Medicago truncatula: one gene and its partner. The protein of the gene in region 2 binds, or shares a complex with, the protein of the main gene of each other region. Links are inferred from orthologs where the notes say so. Each region holds a gene or a part of one and is shown on either strand. Other genes may lie near its edges.

Evidence for each region.
Region 1: photosynthetic NDH subunit of subcomplex B 1, chloroplastic (region 2) and photosynthetic NDH subunit of lumenal location 2, chloroplastic share a complex: the UniProt entries of both Arabidopsis thaliana proteins name them as parts of the chloroplast NDH complex. The link is inferred for Medicago truncatula from reciprocal best matches to the Arabidopsis thaliana genes PnsB1 and PnsL2.

What each region holds. Positions count from the first base shown.
Region 1 is NC_053046.1:18,324,987-18,334,625, forward strand, and holds photosynthetic NDH subunit of lumenal location 2, chloroplastic, read right to left. Parts: upstream 3,714-9,639; 5' UTR 3,615-3,713; coding exon 3,132-3,614; intron 1,598-3,131; coding exon 1,499-1,597; 3' UTR 1,365-1,498; downstream 1-1,364. Other genes in the region: casparian strip membrane protein 1, read left to right, coding at 722-937. UniProt on the Arabidopsis thaliana protein: NDH shuttles electrons from NAD(P)H:plastoquinone, via FMN and iron-sulfur (Fe-S) centers, to quinones in the photosynthetic chain and possibly in a chloroplast respiratory chain.
Region 2 is NC_053045.1:954,498-965,366, reverse strand, and holds photosynthetic NDH subunit of subcomplex B 1, chloroplastic, read right to left. Parts: upstream 4,119-10,869; 5' UTR 4,026-4,118; coding exon 3,414-4,025; intron 3,158-3,413; coding exon 2,967-3,157; intron 2,782-2,966; coding exon 2,524-2,781; intron 2,217-2,523; coding exon 2,111-2,216; intron 1,722-2,110; coding exon 1,636-1,721; intron 1,528-1,635; coding exon 1,362-1,527; 3' UTR 1,209-1,361; downstream 1-1,208. Other genes in the region: phosphatidyl-N-methylethanolamine N-methyltransferase, read left to right, coding at 488-737; probable GMP synthase [glutamine-hydrolyzing], read left to right, coding at 9,111-9,549. UniProt on the Arabidopsis thaliana protein: NDH shuttles electrons from NAD(P)H:plastoquinone, via FMN and iron-sulfur (Fe-S) centers, to quinones in the photosynthetic chain and possibly in a chloroplast respiratory chain.

The DNA.
Region 1 (9,639 bases), on a different chromosome or scaffold from region 2:
GCACTTCTGTCCCTGACCGTAAATAATTATGTTAAGTGATGATGTGGCTCAGGTTTTACAATGACATGACATATCAGGTGTCACATGGAGTAAAGCGAAAGTAGAAAATGACCACTTTAATTCCTAAATCAAAAAACAATATCCCCAACTTAAATCTCAAATCCTAACCAGCCTCGTTAGGTTGCTGAAATTTAGGCACAAGTACAAAAATTACTGAACTTGATATTCACATAGTTGAGACTAAGAAAGAGATTTTTAAATTCTTAATTTTAAGGTAGTATTTGAATTTTTTTATAAATTTAGCTATAATAAGTCATTTCCTAAAATACATTTGATTTTACAAGTTCTCCAAACTTATACGAATATAATTTACATTGAAAATTTTGAATTATCCATACTAGCTCATAAACTTTTCTCATCCAAACACATTACATAGATTTTGTCTCATTTGCCAGTTGCTAGAACTAGCCCTCCTGTGTAACATAGACAACATTATTGTGAAGGTTTCTACAAGTTTGTACAAGCAACTTTTCCTTAATTGGTTATATTAATGTGTTTAAAAATGAATGAGCTGTCATATTCATTAATTGATATGGTAACACATTATTAAATACATGTGTTAAATAACTTTACGCTGACGCGCTGCATACTCATTAAACTCTTCCATATATTGTGATGCTGATCAATGTTTAATAATAACAATTGAGTTTATATTGTGAAGGTAATGATGGGTCTACTAGCAGCAGCAGCCTCAGCAGCAGCATCAATTGTGTACATAGCACATTATGGAAACACACAAGCCAATTGGTTTCCTATTTGCCAACAATACAATAGTTTCTGTGAACGTATTTCTGGTTCTCTTATTGGCTCTTATATTGCCGTTGCTCTCTTTATAATAATAATCCTCCTATCTCAATCAGCTATCTCTCGAAACTGATGATTTGGTCTATGAGTTTATCGCGTGTTCTATTCAGATTATAGAATCTGAAATGTTTCAACGTGTTTTTGGAGGTCTGTATGAGGTGTTTATGCTTTTTGAATTCTATATTCCGAACTGCATAGAACGCACGAGAAACTCATAAGATGGAAAAAAAAAGTCTTATGAAAATCGTGATCGTGTGTATTCCCCTATAGTCTGTGTGCATTTGTACCAAAGTGTGTTTCTCTAACTTGTTTAGGCTTGTGTTGGATACTTTGTTGGTGTACACAATTTAAATTTCTTTTAATAGTACAAGAGGTTTGAAAGTTTGACTTTGTAAGTTCAAATTCAATGGATAAAATTCAGATTTCCCATCAATGTTTGTAAAATAGTCATTAGCGTCAAAATTCTCGATTTAAAACTTTTAATAATGTTCAATTTAAAATACTTGAAGTTGCACATTCTAAACCTTTTATATATGTTCAATTGAAAATCCAAAATTCAAAAAAATTAAATGTCAAGATGTGTTTTATACAATTAGAATTCCAAATACCAATACCCTGCAGCTTCAACTTTGCACTAAGCTAACTGAGCCACAAGTTCATCTATTGATTTCAATGTCTTCTCGTAGTATAGGTATGATTCATATACCTTTGGTGTCCGAACATAACGATCCATCTGAAGATGGAAAAAAAGAACCATAAATCAGATGCTAGACATTAGCAATCATTAGTTCATTACATTTATCATATAATAACAATGTTGATTTTTGCATGACAAAATTAATCTTTAAATGCATATTCCATTTATTAAAATGATGATAGCCATGAGTGTAACCCACTTTTATACCGATAGCATCCATTAAAAACCATTGTTTTATGATATCATTTCATTGTTGTAATTGTATTTTAAAATTAAGTTTAAATCACATTTTGATCGAACCGTAATTTTAGTCCCCAATTTTTTTATGGCAAATGTTAGCTTGTTAGTTGTTATTTTCGTACTTTCTCATTTGCTCAAGATTCAAACCTAGATCTTTCACCCTTACATCTTAACACATTTAATACCTTAGTTCAACCAAGCAAGCTATTCATCCCTCATCCCCTTTTTCTAATAGAACAATTTTGATCCATCGTTTTAAAAATTTGACCAACCCATCATTTCGACCATCCAACTTAATGAGGTATAATAAGTTAGATGGTGATCTGACATGAAAACAAATGCCTATCTCTTGAGAGTCTTAAAAAAATGATGTTAAATTAAGTGGTGATCAAATATATAGAGGAAAAAGAAGATCAATTGAGATGGTACAAGGGATTGAGAGTAAACAATTTAGTGTCATGGTATCATTAAATTTTGGATGGTTAAATTATAAGTTGGTCAAAATTTCAGAAATGGGGACCAAAATCACGGAATTAAAAACGACAGACCAAAATTATGGTTTGGCCAAAATAAAAAGATCAAAATAGCATTTAAACCTAAAATTAACTATGCAACATGGAAAAATAGAGTTCATAGTGCATGATAATGTAAAACTAATTTATATATTTGTTTCTTAGGATAGCTAATTTATACAAACATGTCAAATTCATGTTTCATCACTCAAATTAATCCATGAAATTGACAATTTGAGTCGATTAGTTGAATTTTTTAAAATTAATCATGAAATTGAAAATTTGAATCAGATGAGCTAATTTGGACGAAATGAAATTTTAATTTTCAAAATATTTTGGAATTTCATCAATTTCAAAGGCTAAATTATCTTATTTTATGACTATAATTTTAAAAAGGTTTAATAGTAGTTTTAACCCCTAATTTTTTCAAAGTTGTAATTTTGGCCCTCTAAGAAAAAAAAACTACAAAATCACTCCCTAAGTTTTGCATCTCTGGCAGTTTTGACCCCCAAGACCAATTTTGACTCAGTCTACGTTGACGTGGCACCCTAAGTGAGGTGTCACGTGCTATTTTTTTTTTTTTACCAAAAATTGGCCTTGGGGGACCAGAAACTTCTACGGTTGCAAAACTTAGGGGCAGTTATATAGGCTTTTTCTTAGGGGGCCAAAATCGCAACTCATGAAAGTTAGGTGGCGAAAACTGCTATTAAGCCTTTTAAAGCACACATCAGTATAGCAGAAGTTGTATATCTATTCATAGACTTATTCAATTCATTCATCAAATTAACAAAACACCACTAAAAATTAATCATACATACCTCAGTCAAATTATCAACCAACTCATTAGCAGTTTTAACATACTCCTTGCGACGATTTTCAGGCAAAGTAGTGATAGCATTTCTCAAATCCTGTTCAAGATAATTCTGTTTCAATCTTATATAAAACATAACATACCTCCAAGACAAAGTTTCCAACATTTCCCTAAGATTATGTAACCCTTCAGCTGTTTGTTTTATCCTTAAAACTGCATCTTCAGGGGACAATCCTGGCATAAAAAAATGTTCTTTCATAAAAGAACGTGTGCCCCAATTCTGTGCTAGTGCTAGTGGTGTTGTTGTAACATGTACTACTCCAACCATTGATGTTGCTAGAAATGTTGAAACTAAATTTCTTCTATTTGTTACATTTTGTTTAGAAGATAAAGAGTTGTTAACGTTGTTGTTGATGTTGTTTGAAGTGTTTTTGTGTTTGGTTTTGATGTGAGCATGGAGTAGTGTAGTGGCATGAGTGAAGCTGGACATGGTATTTTTTGTGTGTGGATATTTTTGGTGTATGAAGGATTTAGGTATGGTGTGAATTTTGAATGGTGTATTTGGACTATGGAAATTTTTGGGCAGGTTTTTATTGGCTGACCGTGTTGCCCGGTTTATACACTTATGCCTTGAGATTATGCCACGTGGAAACTTTATTATCCATTTGAGTTGAGAAAACTCCAAGTCAATCATTGTTGGAAGATTTAAGCATTTTCTTTTTGGTGAAAAAAATGTAAATTAAATATTGGATCAATTAAGTTTTTAGTCTTATAAACATCTGCAGTTTTTTTAATCTCTGTAAAAATAAATTATATTTTTTGGTCTTTACAAAGTTTTCCATTAATGTTTTTAGTTCCTGTTAAATTAAAATTTGTTTAATTATGTTTAAAATTTTAAATTTTTTAATAATTTTTTACATACTTGTTTAAAACATCATAAAACGTTCCGCTGCAATAAGTTAGGTCAAAATTTTATTTTTAGGTCTAAATTTTTGTTAGTTTTATCTTTAATTTTTGGCATTTTAAAAAATTATATTTAATTCATTACATGTTAAAAAATTCTAATTTTTTATAAAATATATTATTATAATGTTCTTAACATGTCTGTTAAAAATCATTTAAAAATAAAAAAGTTTAAGTATAATTAAACAAATTTTAATTTAACAGGGACCAACACATACTTTTAGTCCTTGTAAAATTAAAATTTGCTTAATTATGCTTAAACTTTTAAATTTTTAACATATTTTTTACATACTTATTTAGAACATTATACAAAGTTCCTCCGCAAAAAAGTAACTCAAAATTTTATTATTTGGTCCAAATTTTCATTAATATAATCTTGAAAATTTGGCTTTTAGAAAAATTCATATTTAATTCATACATGTTAAAAACCTAATCGATTTTATGAGTGTCTTACGATGTTATGAACATGTCTATAAAAAATCTTTCAAAAATTTAGAAGTTTAAGCATAATTAAACAAATTTTAATTTAACAAGGATTAAAAACACTAACGGAAAATTTTGTATGGACTGAAAAATGTGATTTGTTTTTATAGGGACTAAAAACAAAACTGCAGATATTCATAGGGACCAAAAACTTAATTAACTCTTATATATGTATGGTAGTGGCTTTGATCCATTTGCAGGTTCATAGAATTTTCACTATTAGTCCTCGTGAGCATAGTTCAGTTTGGCAGAAACATGCATTGTTATATGCAGAGGTTGTATAAGTGAGAAAAATGTGAAATGTGATACGGGAAGAGAGAGAGATTTCACACATGTGAGTTCTTTGTAGTGAAGCGTATGTGTAAACGTGTTTTCCCCTCAGGTTTTTGACCACCGATGGAAAACACCCAATTATAATTAAAGATAAACTTCATCAATATTACAAAACTGCCATCGTGTTTCATTTTTCCCTTCAGGTATATAGTTCCACCGATGTAAACACTCTTCAATAATGATCTCTCCCCTCAGCTAATTTCTCAGCCGATGTGAAAATGCCACCGTGTTGCATTTCACATCAGGTATTTGACCACTGATGTAGATATCCTGTTGTTTTCTAGTAGCGGAACCCCGGACGCCCTACTTATTCACTTTGAAAAATGTGAATTCTAGCCATTAATCTACTTAAAAAAAAAAAAAAAAAAATCACTATCATTAACCATCACAATACATGAATATCGTTTTTAAATACCTTAGCCTCTAAATGCAATTTTCATTTTTATAAAGAAGAAATTTGGTAACTTAGTTGATATGTCAATTATATGTAGAGCTGTCAAAAATGGGTCGGGCTCATGGGCCGACCCATTGGCCCATATTTTTGGGTCGGGTCGGGCCTAAAAAACTAACAAAAAATGCACTCAGGCTTTTTCAGCCCAAGCCCATTTGGGCCGTACAAAAGTTGGGCCAGGCCGGGCTGGCACATCGGGCTTTGGGCCGGCCCATTAGCCCATATTTCATTTTATTTTTGTTAAAAAACAACATATTTTTTAAAAAAATTATCAACTAATTTAAAATTTATTAACAAAAAAAATATTTAAATAAATAAACTTAATAAATATGGATGAATTTAGCTTACAGTTTTAAAATTTTAAAGTTTATAAATTATTAATTTGATTTAATTGAAAGAATAATCTAGAGTTTAATTATTATTCAATGTTAATGTAAAAATTATTTATATTTTTATGTCCATCCAATCATATTTTAGCAAAAAAATAATGGTGAGTAACTAATACATAAGAAAATACATAAAAAAAAATGAATAAATTTTAAAAATAAAACATAAACGGGCCAGGCCGGGCCGGACTCTAGAATTCACTGCCCAATCATAAACGGGTCGGGCCGGGCTGACCCATTTATATAGTCGGACCTCTCGGGCCCGAGTCGGGCTGGGTCGGGCCGGCCCATTTGACAACTCTAATTATATGTATCTAAAATATACATTAAATATGTATATACTATTTAATTTTGACTTTTACGTTTCAAAACACTTGATGTTAATTATGAAATTTGGAAAAGAAGCATTATACATGTCTTTTAATTTGATTTTTTTTTTTTTATATTTAAGACATTTTTTTTGCTAAGCAAGTGTTTATGTTTAGGGACATAAGAAATATCTATTTATTGTATTGATTAGTTAGTCAATTCATGTTTCCTCTCTCAAATTCTTCTTTTTTTTTTTAAAAAAAAAATTCAAAAATGGAATTTTATTATCAACCAACTTTACTTTCTCTATACAAGGAATGTTAGAGAGAAACAAAGAGAAGAATGAAATTACATCATAAAACGGTTACAAACACCAAAAGCAAGGGTAAGGAAATTACAACCATAATAAAGGGTTGATATACCACATGTGGTAACTAAAAGTAAAGTTGATGTGAATAGTATGATCTTTTTGTCAAGTTGATGTACCTTTAGCCATCCATAAGAATATGCCTTAATTTTGTTAAGCAGATGGCAAATAGTATCGTCTTTATTCTTTAATATTTTTTTTATTTCGTTCTTTCCAAATAATTCAAATAGAGAAATATCAAAATAAGATTACATTTGGATTTCGATAATCCACCCAAAACACTAAATTGTGTCAGGTGTTTCGAGATATGGTGTGGAACTACTATGACGAGGCCTAACCAATCATAAGTAGTGATCCAAACATGACGGAATTAGTCATAACGAAGAAAAATATGAGTCGCGTCGTCCATATTACCATAATTTCCCACACAAGATACGAGCAGTAGTTTTGTTGGGAGGCGGTTGCGAAGAAGACGCAACACAAAGAAGTTAACTTTCAAAGGAACATCTCGATGCCAAAATACATGATTATCATTTGCAATGTGTTACGATTTGCTGCTATTAAAAAACTATAATCATTATTGATTGTATTTTATTTTATGTACACTCCAAAGTCTCTCCCCATCCTAGATGCCTCATCTCAAACACAGTTGTCATTTTATATCAAAATCCTCAAAAAGGCGGTTGAACCTATCTTTCAAAACCCATCCTCTCAACTAAGGATCCCACCAAAACAAAATTGAAGTTCGGTCACCTGCCTCACGCACAGAATTATCACCTATCAAACTTCCCACTCCTGCTCCACCACCCTGACTAATATTAATTAAATTACTCCACCAAACTGATCCCTCTTCCTCATCCAGAGGAAACATACAACCAATCTCTCCAAATTTTGCTAAAAGAACTCTATGTAACGCCATAGTCGTTATTTTATTTAATTTGGAATTATTTAGAGTCTTTTATGTGATTTTAAATAATATTTGTGATTTTAGGTGGTGTGTATTATTTTATTATATGATTTATTTTAATATAATTAGAATAATATGAGAAATAGAGTTATTTTGGAGTGTGGGGAGTTAATTAAGAATTAATAGAATTAAGGGGAGTTTAATGAAATAAAGGGGAGTTAAGTTTTGGGAGTTAAGAAAAAGAGAAGTCAGAAAACGTTTTATACGTAAAACAAGTTTTGGGAGAGAAGAACCAAGAACAAGTAGAGCCAAGATCATCCGTGTGTTGTGCGATTTTCTGAATTAAGGTAAGGGTGAGACTATCTCTCAATAATCATAATATATAATTTCTGAAAATTGATCTAATTGAATTGTTCTTGAAAATAAAAATTGGGAATTAGGGTTGATGCTGATTTTGAAAGGAATGGTGTAAGAATCATGTTTAATGTGTTTAGTTTTCATGTTCAGAATGATTTCTTAATCTATAATGTTGCTGTGATCAGAATTTGAGGGAGATTAGAATTGGTTGGGAAAATTGGAGAGGTTTTGTATGATTGCTAGAATGATCTGAATTGTTGTTGTTAATGCCTGTTTTGTGTTCCTTTAGATGCCTAGTTGTACAATGAACCTGTAACCATCTGTTGGAAACGTTGGGTGATCAGGGGATTAAAATTGGGTTTTGGAGTGAGAAAAGGTTTGAAACCCGTAGGTTTTTGCACTACCGAGATGAATGGTCGCTTAAGCGAACGACCCGTCGCTTAAGCGAGCATTCAAGCAAGCTGCCCAGAATCCTGTTTTGTCAGTTCACTTAAGCGAACTGTGAGCGAGCCTGTAAGCGAAAAAATTATTCCATTCTGCCAGAAGTTCGCTTAAGCGAGTCGCAAGCGAACCGTTAGCGAGCGGAACCCCAACTTTCTGTAAGCCGGTCGCTTAAGCAAACTAGCCGTCGCTTAAGCGAAAATGACCTTAGTCAGCCACTTTTTGAACTTTGCCTCGTGCACTAGGGGATTCTTTTGAGCATTTTTAAATGTTCCTTTCAACTTGTAAGACCATTATATATACCCTGAATCCTACTGAACACATTGTTAATCGAATTGGTGGAATTTAATGAATTTTGAATTTGAGTGAGTATGAAACCAAGTTAAAATATACTATGTTGAATGAACTTGATGTATTAGTATGATTGTTATTAATTATACTTTTTTTTTTATCTTGGATTGGTTTGTGATGATTTTGCTGTTGACGGTGATGTATGCTTTCATTTAATTAAAACCATACATGTTGTTGAATTATGAAGTCGTAAGCCATATATACATATATGCATTGTCGAGTTGTATGTAGATATACACAAGTGGAGTCAGTTGCATAAGCATAAAAGCGGAAGGGCTTTGGCCCTAGAACGCCTTGTCGTTCAAAGCGGTGAAACTCTTGTTGTTCAAAGCAGTGAGGACTTATGTCCTGAATGAATGCTTTAACCATTCAATAGCGGTGAGGACCTATGTCCTGAACGAATGCTTTAACCATTCAATTAGCGGTGAGAGCTTCGGCCCTGAATATGGTACCACGTGCATAGTTGCATTTGTCGAGGAGTCTTAGAGGTGTTGTCATGAAATTGCATGAGTCGTTGTTGTTGGTTGAATTTTTGTATTATTGATGATGTTGTTGATTATGAAATACATATGCATATTGAATAATCATTGATATTTTAGGGTGTTAGACTCAATTGAAGTTATTATATATTATTATTGTTTGTGAATCTCACCCCTTCTGCTTGAAAATGTTGCCCTTCCTATGGGTAACTTGCAAGTGATCATGAGTAGTAGGTGGTGGCTCAAGTGTCTAGGGCTCTGATACGTACGGGATGAGAATTTCTTATTTGTTTTTCATTCCTTATGTATCAATTTTTGGAACTTGCTGATGTAGCCCTATGCTTGATTGTTGGAATTATTTTGATGAGGCTTTTATGCCAAGATATTTCATGGAGAATTAAACGGTTATTGTTGTTGTTTTTGATGCAAATATTCCGCTGCAAAATAATGATATTTTTGAAGGATATTTTATTAAATAGTTTTATATCCTATTTAAGAAAATTTGAAAATGAAGTGTGACATGTTCGTTTGGGTTATTACTCTGATGAATTATTTGTTAATTAATTGCTTTGGGATAACAGGGTGTTACACTCTATACCATAAACTACTCTGCTCGTCCTTCAACCTCCAACAACATTTATCCATCAATGTCAAATTAAATTGCCTTAACTGCCTAACCATAATCCCC
Region 2 (10,869 bases):
TCTCTGAGCTTCATAGGAATTTGTGGATCTAACAATGTGGTTTTATAAAGTTTGTTCCTTTCATTTTATATAATATATAGGGTGTTGAAAAATGTGTCATTTGTTGAATAATGTGAGGTCAGTTTTATGATCATTATTACTGGATATTAGTATAAGAAAACAAGATTAAGTATATGTTTGATTCCACATTTGGAGAAAGCAAAATTGATATTGATTTTGACAATGACAAGTAGAATCGATTTTGCATCCGGAATAGATATTAACTGTTTTTAACAATAGAATTGATTCTAATATGAAGCTATAATTTAGAGTTTTGTCTCTACAATTGATTTTTAGCCTCGAATTTACTGAGAAGAATACCATTTTTTTTATGACAGTGTATCTTAAAAAAAAATTGATGTGCCCAAATATTTTCACTGTGCCTTATTTTATAATTGTATTGCTTTGAAATTTGCCTAATTATAATTATGATATTGTCAAATGACAGGGTTTATCAGCTTCTTGGTGAAGCCGGCACATACTACGGTGTACGCTTCGGAAAAACTATTCCATGGGTAACCGAATTCCCTTTCGGGGTCATCAGTGATCCTCAGTATATTGGCAGCATCATGAGTCTTATTGCATGCCTTCCATGGGTTCCTTTTCAGTACATTCTCCTGTGGGTTTTAGGATACGTGTTTATGATTCGTGTCGAATCAAAGGAAGATCCATCGACTCGTGCAAAGCCACTGAACTGATTTTGTTTCAGTAGATTAGATATAAGTAGGAGTAATCAGTAGCATCTAAGGTGCCGAACTCTTTGTATGTTTCTGTTTCTTGCCAGTGCATTGGAATGTCATCTCTATTTATATGTTCCGATTCCACAAAACTATTTCAAATGAACTGCAAAGTGTAAACTTATTTGATTTCTGTATCTCGACACAGATTTTGGATTCTTTGCAGTCTTTCCATTCAGAGGCCGGCCGTTGGATTAGTCCAATTGACCAAGAGATCTCGAGACCGCTCTCGACATATGTATGTCACAAGCTTGTCAAAGTGTAAACAGCTTTAGGTGATAGCTTTAATAAATGGAATCTTGTGCATGTGATAAGGATTCACATTTTTTGTTTGTTGTTTTGCTGAAAAGGATCCACTTTTCTTTTTCTGTCACAAGATTCATGCTTGTGCATCGCAAAGCTTTCTCGACTTTTATTTTTACGTGTTTTGACTTTCGTTTTAATTCATGTACCTGTTTTTTTATCGCCCCAAAGGAAGCCATGAATTAGTTGATATACATTCCTTCTTTACCATAAGTTTTAACCATAGTTAGCACAACGACTTAACTTGAAGTTCAGAACCCTCGCTGTTTTCCCTCTCTTAGGCTATGCAAAAGCTAGAGAAACATTGAAAGTTTGAATTGCATTTGTTACAGCCTCAACATCTATATTGATCAACTTCCCCGTCTTGGATGATATCACAATGCACTTCTTCTCTTCTGCCCGCGGAACAAACTTGTTTCCCTTCTCTTTAGAGGAAAATAGTGCAACACTGCATAAATTGAGCAACAGTTTTATGGGATCAATGTGATTGTCTTGCAAAGCTTAATTAATGTGCTGTTTAGGGAAACATTATAATTCATGTGAATGGTAAAATTACCTAGGTTTTTCGCGCGCATTTGCGAGCTGAATTGCAGCTGTATTGGTAGCTATAACTCCAGCCGAGTCGTTAATAAGAGCAGCCAACTAAACCATACAACCACAGTTAGGGAATTGAAACTGTTAAAATGAAGATTTGAAGACTCACATTTTAACTACAATAAATTAGATCCACACAGAATTCGGATTGCATGAAGACTATGCCACCGTGGTTTTCCATTTTTGGTCGATCAAAGAAAAAAAATCAACGAGACACAGACACGGACACTAGTTATGTTCAAAAGCCTATTCCTATGTCCCATATTGTTGTCTTTCCCCTTATTTTTGTTATTTCAATATTAAAACAGCATATTTTTTATTGATCTATTCATTCATTTTCATCACATCACAGTTCAATGTTTTGACATTTTTTTACTATTTTATTTTTTTCTCTCTAAGTTTGTTGCATGCAAAATAACTATGAGATACTTGAGTACCTGTCCAGGGGTGGTGATGAAGATTATAGAGGAATCTTCTCCAACTATTTCCTCAACATTTTCCCTTTCTTTCTCATGTGGAATGACAAAAAGTGGTGTAAATTCCCTGTATTCATATGTTAATTGTTAAAATATAGTCCAAAACATACATACCAGAAAATGACAGAATATAAGGAGAAATTGCTTGAGAAACACTTATTTGACGAATACAGTTATGTAGGATACCTTTTTTACTTGAACTCTATTTTGATAAACAACTTAATGAAACGTTTATAGCATAAATGTTTATCATACAAGAGTTTATGTATAAAAATAAGCTGAAAATAAGTTCTAAGCTGTTTTCATAAGCTATTATGGAGAACTTATAAAAATAAGCTAAGAGAGATTCTATATTAGAGGGCAACATTTCATACCTTACAGCATCAGCAATTTCAGCCCACACTTCAAGGGGTAGCAAGCTATCAGGATCACCCCTAGACTGCATTGTGGCTTTTGAGTCTGATTGTATCCCATGAATCACAATATATCTTCCTTTCTTTACACCTGCTTTTGTGTATTTCTCCTCCACAACTTCCTTCAACTTCCTTGAAAGTGATATTTTAAGTGGTGGCACAACCTGCCGTGGAACGCTTCGAAACGGTCTTCCTAGCCAGTCTTCCATTTGATGATACCTAGTTCGTCAAACTCATCGGAAATGGTCCTCAGTTAAAGAAAATTTTCGTGAAAATCTACCAAATGTAAATCTAAATACTATCAGGTAAAAAGTTTTACACTGTCAATACATGATCTAACACTTAAGACTGATTGGCAGTGTAAAAACTGTTTACACCGTGATTTCAAACATGCACAAACTCACATATGATATCCTCCCTCTGAGAGATTTGTACTATCTGGTGTGAATGTTTCAGATAGAAACAATCCTGCTCCTGCACCATTCACATTCGGATAAACATAACTAACTCTATCTCGCGCAGTTGTCATGAATAAATATGCTGCATGGCCAACTCCGGCCAATTTTGTGCTCAAGACCATGTCATAGTACCTACTCTGTAAGCATAACATAACAATAAATCAGTTCCTATATAAAATTTCTAATATATGTACCTTAGAAAGTAGCAGGAAAAATCTGTTAAGAGTTTTGAGCTATGAAGCACGGACAGTCTTCGGATTAGGTGTGTCCTGATGTCGGACACGCGTCCGTATCGGTGCTTTACAAGGTATGATCGATTTTCAGTCTCATATTTCTAAAGAAAAATATCGAAACTTTACACAAACTATTTAAAAAATATGCTTGCCAACCAACCTTTAGAACACCGACAAAATCGGTATACTCAGCAGGCTCAGGAAACTCATCGTCCGGATCAAAAACATTAGCCCATCTAACATTCTTATTCAACTCATAACACTGTTTCCCTCTCTCAGAACCCACAACATCAACCTGAACACCAGGGTACCTATCCTTAATCAACTGAATCATTGGAAAAAACAACAGATTCTCATAAACACCACCAGATACCACACAACAACACCTTCTAACATCACCTCTAACTTTCAATCCTAAAGGAGCTATCTCAACCATATAACCAGCTGGAAACTTCAAGAATCCATAAGGATTTTTTGGATTATCGGGCGGCCTTGGATCCTCGTCTTGTTTACCGTCTGAAAACAACGAACCATATTCGATATTTGGATCTTCTCCATCGTCAAAAGGGTCTAGCCATGGATTGTTCTTTTTGGCATTTACGCGAAGATTTAGTCTTCTAGTTGAATTGTAACAATGTGATGGATGGTCTAATGATGTTAACAATGAAACATTGGTTGGATAAGTTGAAGGAATGGAAAATGTGTTTGTAGTGAAATGGGAAAATGGTTTTGAAATTTTAGAATGTAAATAATATGTTGCAGTTGCAGCCATTGAGATTTTTCAAATTTGGTTCTTTTTTTGCGTTGTTCTTGCTACAAAGTTAGACATGTTAGAGACTAGAACTAGAATGTGTGGAAATGTGTTGGATAAGTGGGTCCCATTTAATCTTTTTTGTATTATGTGCAGCTTCCTTCCTGTTACCAATTATCAACCTTTCATATAGAAAACTTTACATGAGTTCGTGAAAAAGAATCTTATGAGAGTTGTTACAAATAAAAGGTAAAATAGTCCTTGGTACGATATAATAATAGAAGAGAAATGATATTTGTACAACTATTTTGTGACAATTTTTCCTCTCATATCCATATTATCCTCTTATTCATTCTCTTCCTTTTTCTCTCTCCATTATTTTTAACCAATGAAAAGAAAAGAAAAAAAAATTATCACAAAAAATTATATAAAATGGTTGTTCAAATATCACTGCTCAATGTCACATTGAACCTAACTCAATGATATCATGTACTACGAAATTGAAACAATCCCCCAAACCACCACTTTGACATGCATAGAAAATATAACTTGTTGAATCCTCTTTCCTAATTTTAAGTCCACTTCATTGCTTTCAATAAACTAAACACTATGCAACAACTACCTTTACAGCCGATTGCATCCACAATATCTTGGCTCTTATAAATATGCCAAATTCATCATGCACACAAGTATTAATTCCTAGTTTGTGTTATGAATTTCATTAAACGACATATGTATATTATATTTCAAAAATTCAAGTGGACGTCATAATTAAAAAATAAACACAAATAAAAGATTATTTATGTCTATAATCTCTCGTAAATAGACAATAAATAAAAAGCGAATAAATAAAACAAATATAAATTTGAGGTTTTGAAACTATTGTTTTTTGTTTTTTAAGATAGACGAAATGACAAAGTTATTATAAACTCACACACATAAGTGGAGGTACCGTGGTTCGAACCCCGATTATGATATCATGTCTAACGATTTCGACATTTTGTCAGTTGAGTTAGAACTTATGGATGAGACTATTGTTACTTTAGACAATAAGTTGTAACAAAAAAAAAAAGGAAAATGAGTTTCAACACATATCACTTTCTCATATTTATTAAAAATTAAAAAAAAAAAATCCCTTTCACGTCTAGTTTGGGTGGAGATGCATTTGCATGCTGCACGCCACATGAAATTCTTTACTATAAATGGTACTTGTAACTGCCAAATTATCATCCAACTACCACACCTTGAGTTTAAAATTATCAATAATAACATAACATACAAACAAAGTAAAATATTTTAAAATGATGTTTGGTTCACCAAAAATAATTAGTCTCAAATAATTATAATTATAAAATATATAAACAAATTTTGGGAAAAATAGGAATCCATATTAGATTATACGAGATTTTTAACTTATACTCGTTATACAACACACAAAATGGAAGCAAGTTATTTCTTTAAATTTGAATCATCTCTTTCACTACTTCTCTGCATGTCTCACCTAACTCTCGTTTTTCATTATAAAAAAGATAGAGATAGAAAATTAGAAGAGAGGATATATAAATAAGGATTAATAGACCTTTATCCCTCCCTGTAATATAGATCACTTTTGATTTTGTCTCCTGTAAAAGAAAAAATTTGGATTCGGTCCTTGTAATTTTTTTTTGTTTAGAATACCTCCTTAGAGCAGCTGACTGTGCACTATTGCTGATATGGCATATTATGTCACCTTTTTCGAATGACGTGGCACACTGACAGTATAATTATTTTTTTATGGGCACACATGCCATTTATATTTTTTTTTAAAAATTAAAAAACGAAAAAATATTATAAAAAATAAAATAAATTTTGGAAAAATAAAAATAATAATAAAAAACAAAATAATTATGGAAATATTAATATAATAAAAAATTGGTAAAATGAAAAATCAAGAAAATTTAGTTAAAAAAAATCTGGAAAAATTAAAAAAATCTGGTAAAATAAAAACAAAAATCTAGAAAATTTAATAAAATAAAATCTGGAAAAATTAAAAAAATTAATATATTTCAAAAAATTCATATTTCCATATTATTTTCAATAGCGAAAAAATTAAAAAATTTTGGAAAATGAAATTTTTTTTTTTTTTCGATAGTAAGAAGTTTTATTTTATAAAAAAATGAAAAATTTAGGAACTTAAACTATTTCAAAATTTATGAATATAATAAGAAAAGAATTAAAAATGAAAGTTCATATTTTTCTTTCAAAATTAAAAGTTTGGTTTTTTTTATTTTTATTTTATACAGAAAATCTAAATATTTAAAAGTATTTTCATAATTAAAAAAACATAACATTAGATCATGAAGAATAGAATTAAGGGCTTGTTATTAACGGTATAACATGACTTATATACCGGTGTCAATCAATATCCATTGTATCATGTTATTCGTCTAGATTATATTTTCGAATAAAATAAAATTCTAGAAATTAATTTTCAAAATCAAAATAATTATATAATAATATATTTTCAATTTTTTTATAATTTTAATTTAATTCAGACTTTTTTTATAATTTTTTTGAAAATTTCGGTATATATTAATTTTTTCCAGATTTGACCAGATTTTTTAAATTTTTCCAGAATTATTATCATTTTTAAATTTTTTTAATCATTTTTTTTAAATTTTTTCATTTTTCCAGAATTTATTTCATTTTTTAAAAAAAATTAAGAATTTTTTTATTTAAAAAAAAATCATTAATGTCACGTGTACCCCATAAAAAATAAAAAAAATTATACAGTTAGTATGCCACGTCATCCGAAAAAATGACGGAACATGTCACATCAGCAAAAATGTACAGTCAGCTGGCCTAGTGGGGTTTTCCAAAACAATTTTTTTTTACAATGATCGAATCTATATTTTTTTTTACATGAGACAAAACCAAAAGTGACCTATATTACAAGGGGTAAAGGCTTATTAAACCTATAAATAATAGTGAAGGAAATCAAGTGATTAAGGACGAATGGTTATTGAATTTTATCAAATGACAAATTATTTGAAAGAATCTTAATTTGATTATGAGATGAAACAGTTTATGGGCATATTTTACTTATTGTCTTTCCGATGGAACTCCAAGTTAATAGAATCCGTCTCATAATAATCAAGATTGTAAAAAATATAGTCTCAGACATGATCCATTTTGTTATTCCTTCCCTTTTTTGGGTGTATGTGAACGAATATCCTCTATGCATAGTTGCATAAATTAATCATTAAGTTAAGTATAATAAAATATATGATAAACTTTCCTTGAAAAGATTTATCGTGGTATTAAACTAAGAAAAATTTATGATTATTTCCTTTATTAAATTTTAACACATTTATTAGTCTCTTCCTTAAACTAAAAAGAGATATTTTACTTTCGGCTTAATACATGCTTTGGTCCCTTAATTTATTTTCGGATTTCATTTTGGTCCCCTAACTATAAAGTGTCTCAATTTAGTCCCTTATGTCTTTTGGTCCTATCTGTTACATTTTAATTATTTGATCTATTTTTCAAATAGAAATCGTTGGATCATGTAGGTGTATTGTAGCCTACGGTGAATGATTAACACCTGATTTTTTTGAAGCCAAAATATATAAAAAAATTCATATTTTTTTATAAAATACGAAGAAAAAAATATTCCATATTTTTTATAAAATCATTTTCAAAATTAAAAAATTTGAAAAAATTTATTTTTTACGAAATTTTTAAAAATGGTCAGATTTTTTTTTCTACAAAATTCTGGAAAATATTTTAATTTTTAAAATATATAAAAAATTCATATTTTAAAATTAGAAAAGAAAAATATTCCAAAATTTAAAATTTGAAAAAAAATTAATTTTTTACGAAATTTCAAAAAAAGGTCAGATTTTTTTTGTCCGAAAAAAAATGTTTTTTTTTAATTTTTTCTACAAAATTCTGGAAAAAATATTAATTTTGAAAAATATATAAAAAATTCAGATTTTTATAAAATATGAAAAAAAATAATTTTTTTACGAAATTTAAAAAAAAGGTCAGATTTTTAATTTTTTTTTTCTACAAAATTCTGAAAAATATTTTAATTTTTAAAAATCTGGATACAAATTATTTCAAAAATAGATGAAGATTGATGGTGATTTTAAATTTATATTTTTAGGAAAATCAATAAGAATAGAAATGATTATATGTTGTGAGCCTATTGTATACTTGTGTACTTTTCAAATCTAGTTGTTGATCACCAATCTTAAATGACATGTGGACAAGGGTTAACTATTTTTGAAAACAAACTAACGGAGATGATCAAAAGAGGTAACAACAGAAGACATAAGGGATCAAATTAAAATACTTTATAGTTAAGGGACCAAAATAAAATCCAAAAATAAGTTAAGGGATCAAAACATAACATGTATTAAACCTTTAGGGTGTGTTTGTTTCAAGTTATAATTGTTGATTCCCGAGAATAAAATGATTGGAATATATATCCCTATGTTTGTTACAAGTTTACTAAATTTTATTCCCGGGCATAAAATGTTCCTGGGAATAGAAAAAATTTCACAAGAAAAAGGGTGGGAATAAAGTTCCCATGGAAATGAGAATAAATTCATAAATAGTTTACCTATTATAATCCCTATTTTTATAGTTCCTAGGAATATTATAAAGCTAACCAAACATATTTTTCCTAAATTCTTTGGAATAAAATTCCTATCTTTATATTCCAAGAAATGTTATTCTTAAGAATAAATTTGGTAAACTTGAAACAAACACACCCTTAGAAATATTTTACCTTTCACTTTCTCACTCTTTCCCTGCAAGTCTGCAACTTTCTCACCACACTCCACCAACACAAAGCAAAGCTTCTACCTTTTTTCACACAAACAACCAAACTTACCTCATTTTTTTCATCTTCATGCTTCCCAAAAAAGAAACCCTTTATTCTTCTTTCTAGGGTTTTGTGCTCAAACTTGAAATTCAAATTTTCAATTCAAAATCTTTTTTTTTTTATCATCTTTTACTTCAATTCCATCTCTGAAAACTCGAAATTTTCAATTGGGTATTCGGCATTGATCTTCTAAACAGAGATTTCGTGAAGAATATTCTAGAATCTAGGGTTTTGCAATGTCGGGTCCACCCAGAGTTCGATCCATGAATGTCACTGTTGGAGCAGATTCTGATTCCAAGGCAGCTCGTCCTGTGAAGAATGTGAAGAAACCGGTGCCGGCGCCCGAAACGGAGAAGAAGAAAACTTCGCCGCAGTGTGTGGTGGTTACACCGGCGGTTTTGAAGCGGCGGGATCATTGTGGGGTTGTGGGGATGAAGAATATGTCGATGAATGCTTCGTGTTCGTCGGATGCTTCATCGACAGATTCTTCGGCTTGTAGTAGTGGCGCCTCGTCGAGTGGGAAAGTGGCGAGGCGTGTGGGGAAGAAGCAGGTTGGTGCAAAGGTTGAGAAGGTGAGTATTGATGCAGTTGTTGCTGTTCCTGCTCCTGTTGAGGTGGAATCGATTGATGGCTTGGAAGGCAAGAAAAGGTGTGCTTGGGTTACACCAAATACAGGTATCTTCATTCCTTTGTAATCATGATTAACTTAGAATATTGTGATTTGTGATATTGGTATTATTTGTTTGAACTTTTAATGTAATTGTAAGGTTGAATTGTAACTTGTAATTAACTTCAATGTAGACAATGAGATATTTGTTTTATATGATACAAAAGTCCCACTCAATCTGAAGGGAAAAATTTATCATACGGTTGTAAGACCGGCAATGTTGTATGGGACGGGGTGTTAGGCAGTAAAGAACTAACATGAGAGTAAAATAAGTGTAGTGGGGATGAGGTTGTTGCGTTGGCTGTGTGGTATGACTAGGTATGATAGAATTAGAAATGATAATATTAGAGAGAGGGTTGGGGTATCACCTATCATGAAAAGATGGTAGAAACTCATCTTAGGTGGTTTGGGCAAGTAGAGAGGAGACCTCTAGATTGCGTAGTAAGGAAGGTAGATCAGATGGAGAGTACTAGTAGGCAAAACACTAGAGGCAGAGGAAGACTAGAAAAACTATTAGAGAAACTATTAAGAAAGTTCTAGAGATTAATGAGTTGGATAGGGTTATGATATATGATAGAACATTATGGTTGCGTTTATTCCATGTAGCCGACCCCACTTAGATGGATAAGGCTTGGTTATCTTTTTTTTTGTAGAAAATGAGAAATTTGTGGAAAGTCTTGCAAGCACGTTTTATGAGAATTTTGTTTGGTTCGAATAGGACACGAGAGGGAAGAGCGGTTTAAATGGAGGAGAGGGAAGGGAAATATTCGGTTACATAGAGAGGAGGAGAAAAAAAATAGAAAGGAAATAATTAATAACCATTTTATTGTTTGGTTTATGTGGAGAGATTTTTGTGAAGGCAAAATGTTAATTTACATTTTATACCCTTATAACATTTAATGTAAGATTATCTTACTTGATGTTTTTAAGATTTTATAAAATCATATTCTCTCTCTAAATCCGCCAAAATTGGAGGGAGCCTAAATTAAGCGAGGAGGTATTTTGTTCCCCTCCCCCATCCAAAACAACTTAACCAAATAAGAAATATTTAAAACCCGTGTTATGAATCGCTGAATGCTAAAATTAGTGTTTTCTTCAAATTCTACTACATTACACCGATATACCTATAGCCGCAATTTGTCAATACTTTGTACTAACTCCCGTATCTTAGAACAATTGCTGTTTGTTCAGACTGCGTTATGCTGTAGTGCTATAATGCTGCAATAGCGCCAATTTTTGAATACATTGTTTATAACGCTATGTAATGTACTTAGGTTTAGTGAGCCACCTTGTCATTATAAATACTAAGTTAATTAGTATTTGAAATA